Linked DNA regions of Caenorhabditis elegans. The protein of the gene in region 2 interacts with the protein of the main gene of each other region in a pairwise test. Each region holds a gene or a part of one and is shown on either strand. Other genes may lie near its edges. The genes, in order: sid-5 and sec-22.

Evidence for each region.
Region 1: the proteins of sec-22 (region 2) and sid-5 interact in a two-hybrid assay, tested with the Caenorhabditis elegans proteins (one study listed by BioGRID).

Annotation. Positions count from the first base shown.
Region 1 is NC_003284.9:6,902,660-6,906,502, reverse strand, and holds sid-5 (Systemic RNA interference defective protein 5), read right to left. Parts: upstream 1,783-3,843; 5' UTR 1,729-1,782; coding exon 1,675-1,728; intron 1,630-1,674; coding exon 1,480-1,629; 3' UTR 1,473-1,479; intron 905-1,472; 3' UTR 654-904; downstream 1-653. Other genes in the region: pes-23 (Major facilitator superfamily (MFS) profile domain-containing protein), read right to left, coding at 2,560-2,748, 2,794-2,913, 2,959-3,055, 3,417-3,619, 3,675-3,843. UniProt on the Caenorhabditis elegans protein: Plays a role in RNA-mediated gene silencing by mediating transport of both ingested and endogenous dsRNA between cells. Not required for the uptake of dsRNA from the intestinal lumen.
Region 2 is NC_003284.9:1,033,343-1,037,594, reverse strand, and holds sec-22 (Vesicle-trafficking protein SEC22b), read right to left. Parts: upstream 2,048-4,252; 5' UTR 2,044-2,047; coding exon 1,966-2,043; intron 1,915-1,965; coding exon 1,808-1,914; intron 1,741-1,807; coding exon 1,580-1,740; intron 1,534-1,579; coding exon 1,390-1,533; intron 848-1,389; coding exon 693-847; 3' UTR 529-692; downstream 1-528. Other genes in the region: F55A4.7 (Ovule protein), read left to right, coding at 325-425, 469-507; stau-1 (DRBM domain-containing protein), read left to right, coding at 2,409-2,525, 3,091-3,228, 3,279-3,393, 3,441-3,548.

The DNA.
Region 1 (3,843 bases), 5.9 Mb from region 2:
AAAACAAATTATACTTTGTATTGTGAACTCAAAATAATTTCTAGCGAAGTAATTTCCACAAGTTTTTTGATGCATAAAAAGTAAGTGATTTTAGAATTTTTACATACAGTGTTTTTCACAAATGAAGTGCATATTAACAATTTTCTTGTTAGATTTTTCAATCTATTCTCAAGAAAAAAAAACGTCGAAATTAAGCAACGCATGTCTTAAAATTAAAAAAGATAGTTGCACCCAAAATTGAAAAAAAAATCGCAAAAAATTGCTTCACAATACTAAAACGGACTATTATTACATTTTGCTAAACAGTATTTTTGTTGCTACACACGCGAGAAGTTCTTTGCAATTCCTTTACAGAAACAGAAAATCTTCACTTCAAAACAGTATTTGCGTTATATTGTCTCTTTTGGAAAAACAATGCAAAATCACATCGCAAACGATTTCAATTTGTAGTTTTTCAAAACTGAAATTTATGAAAAATGTATAAATATTTCTCCAAACTATTTCGGATGTATTTATTGTGCCTGCACAGAACTCGTGTCGATATTATTTACAATATCGGGCTCATTGTTCTTAATGCGATGGACAATCAAAACGCCCCGAATTCCTATTCAACCCACGGATTGACCTGTGTGCGTTTGACATGAAACTCAACGTTCAAGGTGGCATCAGAGCAACGATTTATTGACAGGAGAGAGAAAAAACGGGTATTATCAGTTTGCATTACATCATCCTGATAAGTTGAGAATCACAGAGTACAACTATGCAAGGCATGTGACAATTATACCAAAAAAGTTGATTGTTAATTAATTGAACGAAGAGGTTTAGTTGAGCGCGGAATGAACAAAGTTTTAGTTTTTTCGTTAAATAATTGCTGGCAGAAGTTGTACGAAGAAAGTGGGCAAATCTGAAATTTTTTGATACGATTAAAGTTTGGAACTATTTTTTGAGAATTAATAAACTTTCAGAAAATCATTAAAAAACCGAATTTCATAATGATGAAAATCAAAAATTAAAAAAAAAGGTTTTTAGCTAAAATCTCAAATTTTGCCACATTTCATGTATCGCAGAGGTTTAGAAATATTTTTTTATTAACAAATTCAGATAGTGTAATTTTTTGGTTTTTATTATTAAAACACGTTATCAGTCAATAAATGCACATTTGGATATATTGTTGATACTGACTGGAAAAAATGCTAAGACCAACATCCAAGCTCGAAAAAAATTTTGCGAAAATTCCAACACGAAGTTTGGCATTTTAGAGCGTCAAATAAACTAGTTAACCATATTCACAACACCATCTTCAATCAGACAAAGTATGGTTTAAAACATTATTGGATTTGAGATTTCAAAAAATGAAATTAATTTGGTTTTAGAAAAATCATTTTTCAATCTTCATAATTTGAACATTCGTTTTTTTTTTCAATAAGAAAGCTTTTACTCAATTATTTACACTTCGAGGAACAAAAACTTACCAAAGCTCTAGTCTCTAATTCCGATGATTGGCTCCTCATCATCAGCTGGAATTTGTTCTGCTCCTCGACGAATGAGTCTGTAGAGTCGTGCTCTGTTCATGTACACAACTTGTCCAATGTTGAAAAGAACCATTAGTCCAAGAAATACCAAAGCAATCTGTACAATAAAAGTTATTCAGCTGAAACCGGTTTTATTTCTTACGTCTCTCTCCCATTGACATGCGTGAAGGTTTTTGGCACAGTTTTTGCTGGGCATCGTTCCAGTTTCTCGATTTCTTGCTGAAAAAATCGATTTTAGACAAACATCAACAAAAGAAGGTTTTTCTGTTAGAGAAACGGCTGTTGTGAGAGACACGAGACGCAGGCAGTCGAACAAAACACAATTGACCGAGAGGAGTACGCGGGAAATAAGATGAATATGTTGTTTTGCTGTATCATATACTGGACAAATTTATTGTTGACGATTTAATAAATTATATATATATGTATACTAACATGCATAATTGCCTTTACAGATAATTTTTTTTATTTTCTTAATATGTTTTAAAACTTTGTCAGTAATTTAATTTTAAAAAAACAATTTAAGCTGGAACATCACAAAAATTGTGTAGAGATAACTATTTCAAACCATATTTGTTTATATTAAAATTATGAAATGAGCATATAAAATGAGCATAAAATGAGCAAATCATCATTTCTTCCCCATGCTTCACACATTTTTAACATTAGCAAGAGGAATGGCGGGCGGGGCCTGAAGTATTTCGCAATTCAATTTATTTATATGTATTTACAATTATAATATTTTGTAGCGATTATAGCGATTCACAAATTTCATCGAGCGGTGATGACTGAGGTTTGTTGCAGGTTTGTATTTACGTTGTCCAGACTTCACTTCATCAGGGCAAAAAACTTTATCAAAAACATTAAAAACTTATCTTATTTACTATCTTCATCGCTATTTTAGATTTGTGGCATCAATAATTTAATGAAGTTTGAGTATTTTGTCTCAAATTCAACCACATAGTGTTTCAATTTGCAGGAAAAAAAACGTGTAACTGTTTATTGTTCACAAATAAAAGACCAACTTCTATGGAACATTATTTCCTTCTCCCAATTGTATTTCAGCCAACACAGGGCCGCTTATATCGTTTTTCCTAATTTTAGAAACCGCTGGAACAGTTGATTCTGATGGTTGTTTTTCCTTTTTTGTCATATTCCTAATTTGGTGTATTTTCTGTGACACTTTTTGACTGATTCTTCGCAATGTAAATCCGATCTGTAATTTTTACGATACAACTATTTTTCCTATCGAAAAACTCACTTCTCCCAAATTCGCGTCTTTGCTTTCATTCAAAAAGAAAAAAGCAATTAAGAAATGTATGATGGCGGTGGCAAAAGCGATGAAAAGAGGTGCGGGTTCCCATCTTTGCTTCACAATTGTCTGAGAAGAATTCTCAATTTTTGAATGAATGACGTTCAAACAAACCATTTTGGAGGCCAGTATTCCAGAAAGTCTTGACAGAAATGAGCATGCTCCACTAATGGTACCTCGAACTTCGGTGGGAACTTGTTCCACAACGCAACTGCAGAACAATTATTTTCGATCAAAGTTTTTGTTCGGTTATGTTTAAATTTGAGAATATCTTGTTCAATTTTTAAAAACATACATAGAATTTCACATTAGGTATTTAATTTTTTCACAAAACATCAAAACTCGGTGAAACTATCTGCTCATCAACTGCGGCAGAGGCACGTGTATTGTGTGAAAGTACTCTCGCCACCCTCTTTCTATTAACAGCACTCACTTGATTGTTAAACACTACTCTCGAATATGTGGAGAGATGGCCGAGCGGTCTAAGGCGCTGGTTTAAGGCACCAGTCCCTTCGGGGGCGTGGGTTCGAATCCCACTCTCTTCAGTTATTTTTTTGAAATTACACACTTACAGGTAACATGCATCCCAAATAAATTCGATTGACGCGTATCCAATAAGGAACACTAATACATAAATTGTTGGGTAGTTTTTTTGAAGTCCAAAGAGTATGAGCACTCCGGATGCACACATGGAGATTCCGTTTATACAAAGAGAAATCAAATGAAGATTTCGACGGCTAATAATTCCAAAATATATTTCTACCAAACCAAGAAGCTGAAAATTGTGAACCATATTTTTGAGTTTATAATTTTCAAGTATGTATACGTACAATTTTACAAATGGCAGGTACTCCGGCAAGAAGCATCTGACTGAGAATCAAATTGTTGTGAAAAATTATAACTTCCGAAAAATCCAACATAGTTGCGGTGAAATTGGTCATTACCCAGATAGAACCAAACAAAATAATAACATTTCTGTATTTTTCTTTTTTCCAAATT
Region 2 (4,252 bases):
AAGGTTGAACAGAGCAGAAATAACTTTGGCCAGTGCGTTTGGTAAACTTGGTCAGTGCATTTGATAAGTTTGGTCAGTGCGTTTGGTTAACTTGGTCAGTGCTTTGGTGAGCAGCTTCAGTGAATGCCCATCAGTCTCCTTTTTTCAATAGTTTTTATAAGTGAAATATTTGTAACGTTTTTTTTCTGGTAAAAACTTCGAATACTTCTAGATTTTGAATTCAATTTTCTGGTCACCAAAAAAAAAGTTCCGCAAACATTACAAATATTTGTACCAGTTACATTTTTTATCTGAAAGTTCCAATTAAAAAATATAATTATTTAGATAAAGCATGTTCTGCCCCTTCTTCCTCTATGCCAAAGTTTGAAGCTCAACATAATACAGATGGCAATGATCAACAATATAAAGCCTGGATTGGTGGACAGGCAAGTTTTCAAATACCCTGAAAAATATAACTTTAATTTTCAGTCTACAACGTTCACTCCAGCTGAATCGCGGCAAATCTGATGTGTGCTTGTATTGTTTTTTTTGTAATTTTTTTCATTAAATTTCAAAAAAATAAAATACATTTAACACAGTATTCGTATGATTTGGAAGGAAGGTGAAAAACACAATAATTTAGCAGCGAGAAAAGAAAAACACCCATCAGGATTCTTTTTTTGTTTGAGAAATAAATAGGTAATTTTGTAATTCTAGAAGAAAATGAAGCGGAGCATGAGGAAAAGAACTCCGGCAATTCCAATCGAGGCTGCTACTTTGAAAATGGTTGATCGTCGATTCAGGGCTTTCGCGTCATCCCTGTATTTTTTGCTCATTCCAGACAATTCGGATGCTCGGTTTTCCAGAACTGAAAATTGAGAGAGTTTGCAATCGAATGACCACTTATTTTTTCCGCGACTTATCAATGACCCAATTTAAAATGCACTGACCAAAAAATATAAAATGCACTGACCAGAAAATATAAAATGCACTGACCAAAAGGAATGTACGTGCAAAAAAACGTTTCTTTTTTTCTTTTTGATTATCTACTTTTTTCAATAAAAAAAAACAAAACATTAATAAGCTTAATTATTTGTTAAAGTTAAAAAGTAAAAAAGTAAATTTTCAAAAACACCAATCAAAATTGTGAACAGTTTCAAATAGTGAGTTGTCCAAACGTGGCGACTGGCTTAAAAATTATTAAAATTTCCAAACAATACTGAATTGTACTACTAAATACAACATATTTGAAAAATCACTTATCGGGAAAAAAACGTTTATAAGCTAAAAAAAATGTGTGGTGCAGTGACAAAATCATCTAGCGCACTGACCAAGGTCGATAAATGCAAGGTCCAAACATAGTTATTAGTTAGAGAAAAGCTGAATTTTTCAGGAAGAAAATCAACTCACTATTCAAAGCTTCTCCTCGATGAATGACATCTTCGATATTAGTGACCATAATTCTTGTGACGTCCTGGAGCTCATTGGATACCGTATTCATTGCGTGTTTGTTGGTGTCTCCATATCTTTGTTTAGCTTGTTGGATGTATTTGTCTGAAGCACGTCGCAGTTGCAAATTTTCAAAACTTTATTGACCTACCAAATTCGAGGAAATGGTATGGACGAACGACTTGCTCGATTCTCGAACTGTTCTCGTTTAGAAACTCTTGGCCAATGTCACTGAGGTACTGGAAGGCAACTTTACGCGGGAAATTCCTATCACAGAGGACCAGGGCGCAAATGTTTTGGACGATTATGTAGCTGGAATGAATCAAATGTTTATATTGAGCAAAATGTTTTTTTTAGAGTTTAAAATTCAAAAACTCACTGAAAAACAAATGGTCCTGACTCTACACTTTGCTGTGCTGGAGCCCCATTCAGCTTCTTGAAGAGCATTTTTGCTTGATTCGAGTATTTCACCATACTTGAGTCGCCCTGAAACATGTTTTCTGAAAATTAACTTGAAAATGAAAAATGGCAACTTACACTGCCGTCATTGTTTCCTTCAATCGATGTGGCCAAAATAAGGCCGTCTCGTACACGGGCAATTAGCGTTAGCTCCATTACTCTGAAAATAAAAACTTAATAGAAGAAATTATTTTGCAATTTGTTGGAAAATGCGAAAAGTTGGATTAAATCGGACATGTTTTCAAAAACATTGAAAGTTTTAATTACGAAAATTAAATTTTTAAATCGTAACTTGAAAAATCCAAAAACAACATTCGAATTCCATAAAAAAAATGCAAAAAACGATGGTGAAATACGCATTGAAAGGAAAAGGGCAACGTCTGTTAACCACGTAGCCGCCGCAGCTACGCAACCGCGCTCCACTGGCCAGCCCTTCAATTGCCCTGCAAGAGAAGAGAACACAGTGTGTGTATGTGTTGTGGGATGTGCATCCAAATGTATTGATTACCTCCTCTGTCCCAATGCAGGCTGTATTTGAAACAACGCTCACACAGAAGATGGATGGAGTGATGATAGTACAGGAGACGACTACGGATCTGGCAGATACTTTGGAAAATGCATCGATTTCTGCGGAGAAAGTAAGTTTTTTGGTTTGAAAAAAAAAATGCAAAAATCAATAAAATACCTATGCTAAATCTAAAAAAACTTCAACTCTGGAAAAAATGGCCAATCAAACTATTCACGAGGATGGTATATTCAAAAAAAAAAACTACCGGCCATTCAAAAATTGTCCTACTTAAGTTTTCTTTTAACAATGTCGTTTAACAAAATGTGAGCCATTTTGATAGCTATTAAGATATTCACTTAGTACTGAAATTTTACGAAATTGTTCAATTTTGTTTGAATTTTGGTTTTGGTTTTGAAATTTTTAATTTTAATTTTTGTATTCTTTTAAAATTTTATAAAATACTGAGATATCGGTTCCCTTAAAACATCCAAAAATGTTTTTAAAAAAACAACGAATTTTACAAAGAAACATTAAGCTGTTGCACATATTTTTTGAACAAGAATTTATATTTTGCAAAAAAAACATTTTTTTTGGAAAGTCAGTACTTTTTGGAAAGCTGTAAAATTTCAATAATTTCAAAAATTGCAATTTTCTAATTCTGAAGCACTGCTGGAAAAAACTCTCATCAATTTCAGTCGGAGCAAAAACCAGAACGCCTGCATCCCCAACATTGGTGCGGTCAACACAAATTCGAGGCAGACTCGCCGACGAATTTCTATGACTACACAAATGCAAAAGAGAAGGAGAAGTCGGCAATGTGTAGAGTGGCAGAGGTAACAAAATTCCAGATTCAAACTTTGCGTTCATAAAATAAAAATTCCAGATAGCTCGATTCAACAAGCTGCGGCACGTTTACAATTTGCAAGACGAAAGTGGGCCGGCTCACAAGAAATTGTTCACGGTGAAGCTAGTTTTGACTGAAGCTGAGACATTTGAGGGTAAAATTTTCTAGAAAAAAAGCTAAATTTTCATAAAATTTGTTCAGGAAGCGGAACATCAATCAAAAGAGCACAACAAGCGTCCGCTGAAGCAGCACTCAAGGGCACGAAACTTCCACTTCCAACTGAGAAACCCACTAAAAAGAGGATAAACGGTGAGAAATTGTTCTGTTGTGGTTATTTGTAGGAATTCCTTCAAGGCAAAAATTCCTTTTTGCTCTTTTGTGGCTCTGGGTTAAACAACAAGTTGTAGTGTTCTACACTCCCTCAATTGTTTTAAATGTTGCTGATTCTCTTTCCAGTCAGTTTTACAGCAACCACCACTGCGATATTTTAGTCCTCGACCATCCCCACACCAATTCCAGATATAGTCTATAGACCGCCTGATTCCACTAAATCTCAAACTTCTAGTCTCTTCACCAATATCTCATCACTAATATGTCCAACCATCAAATGCCATTATATCCTCGGTGATTTTAACATACCCCAGTTCAAGTGGAATCCCAGTGGTTGTACAAATCCTTCAATGCAACTCTACTCCCCAATTTTCTGCTCTCGGATCACCTCTCGATATCGTTCACACTTCAAATGCATACGAGACGAACCAACAAAAAGATTGGCGATTCAACCGAGCCTCGCATTCTATTTCGAAAATGCAACTTCCGGGAACTGAATGCACATTTGAGCTCATTCAATTGGGAACGTCAACTCTCGTATTTCTCAAGCACCGATACCACGATCAATCACTTCTTGAAGCTTTTTAATGAACTGATCAGGTTCTACACGCCTACCTCGCCTGTACGGTTTCATAAAACCACAAGTGATAAGTCACGTATTCGTAAAACCGTAAAACGAAACT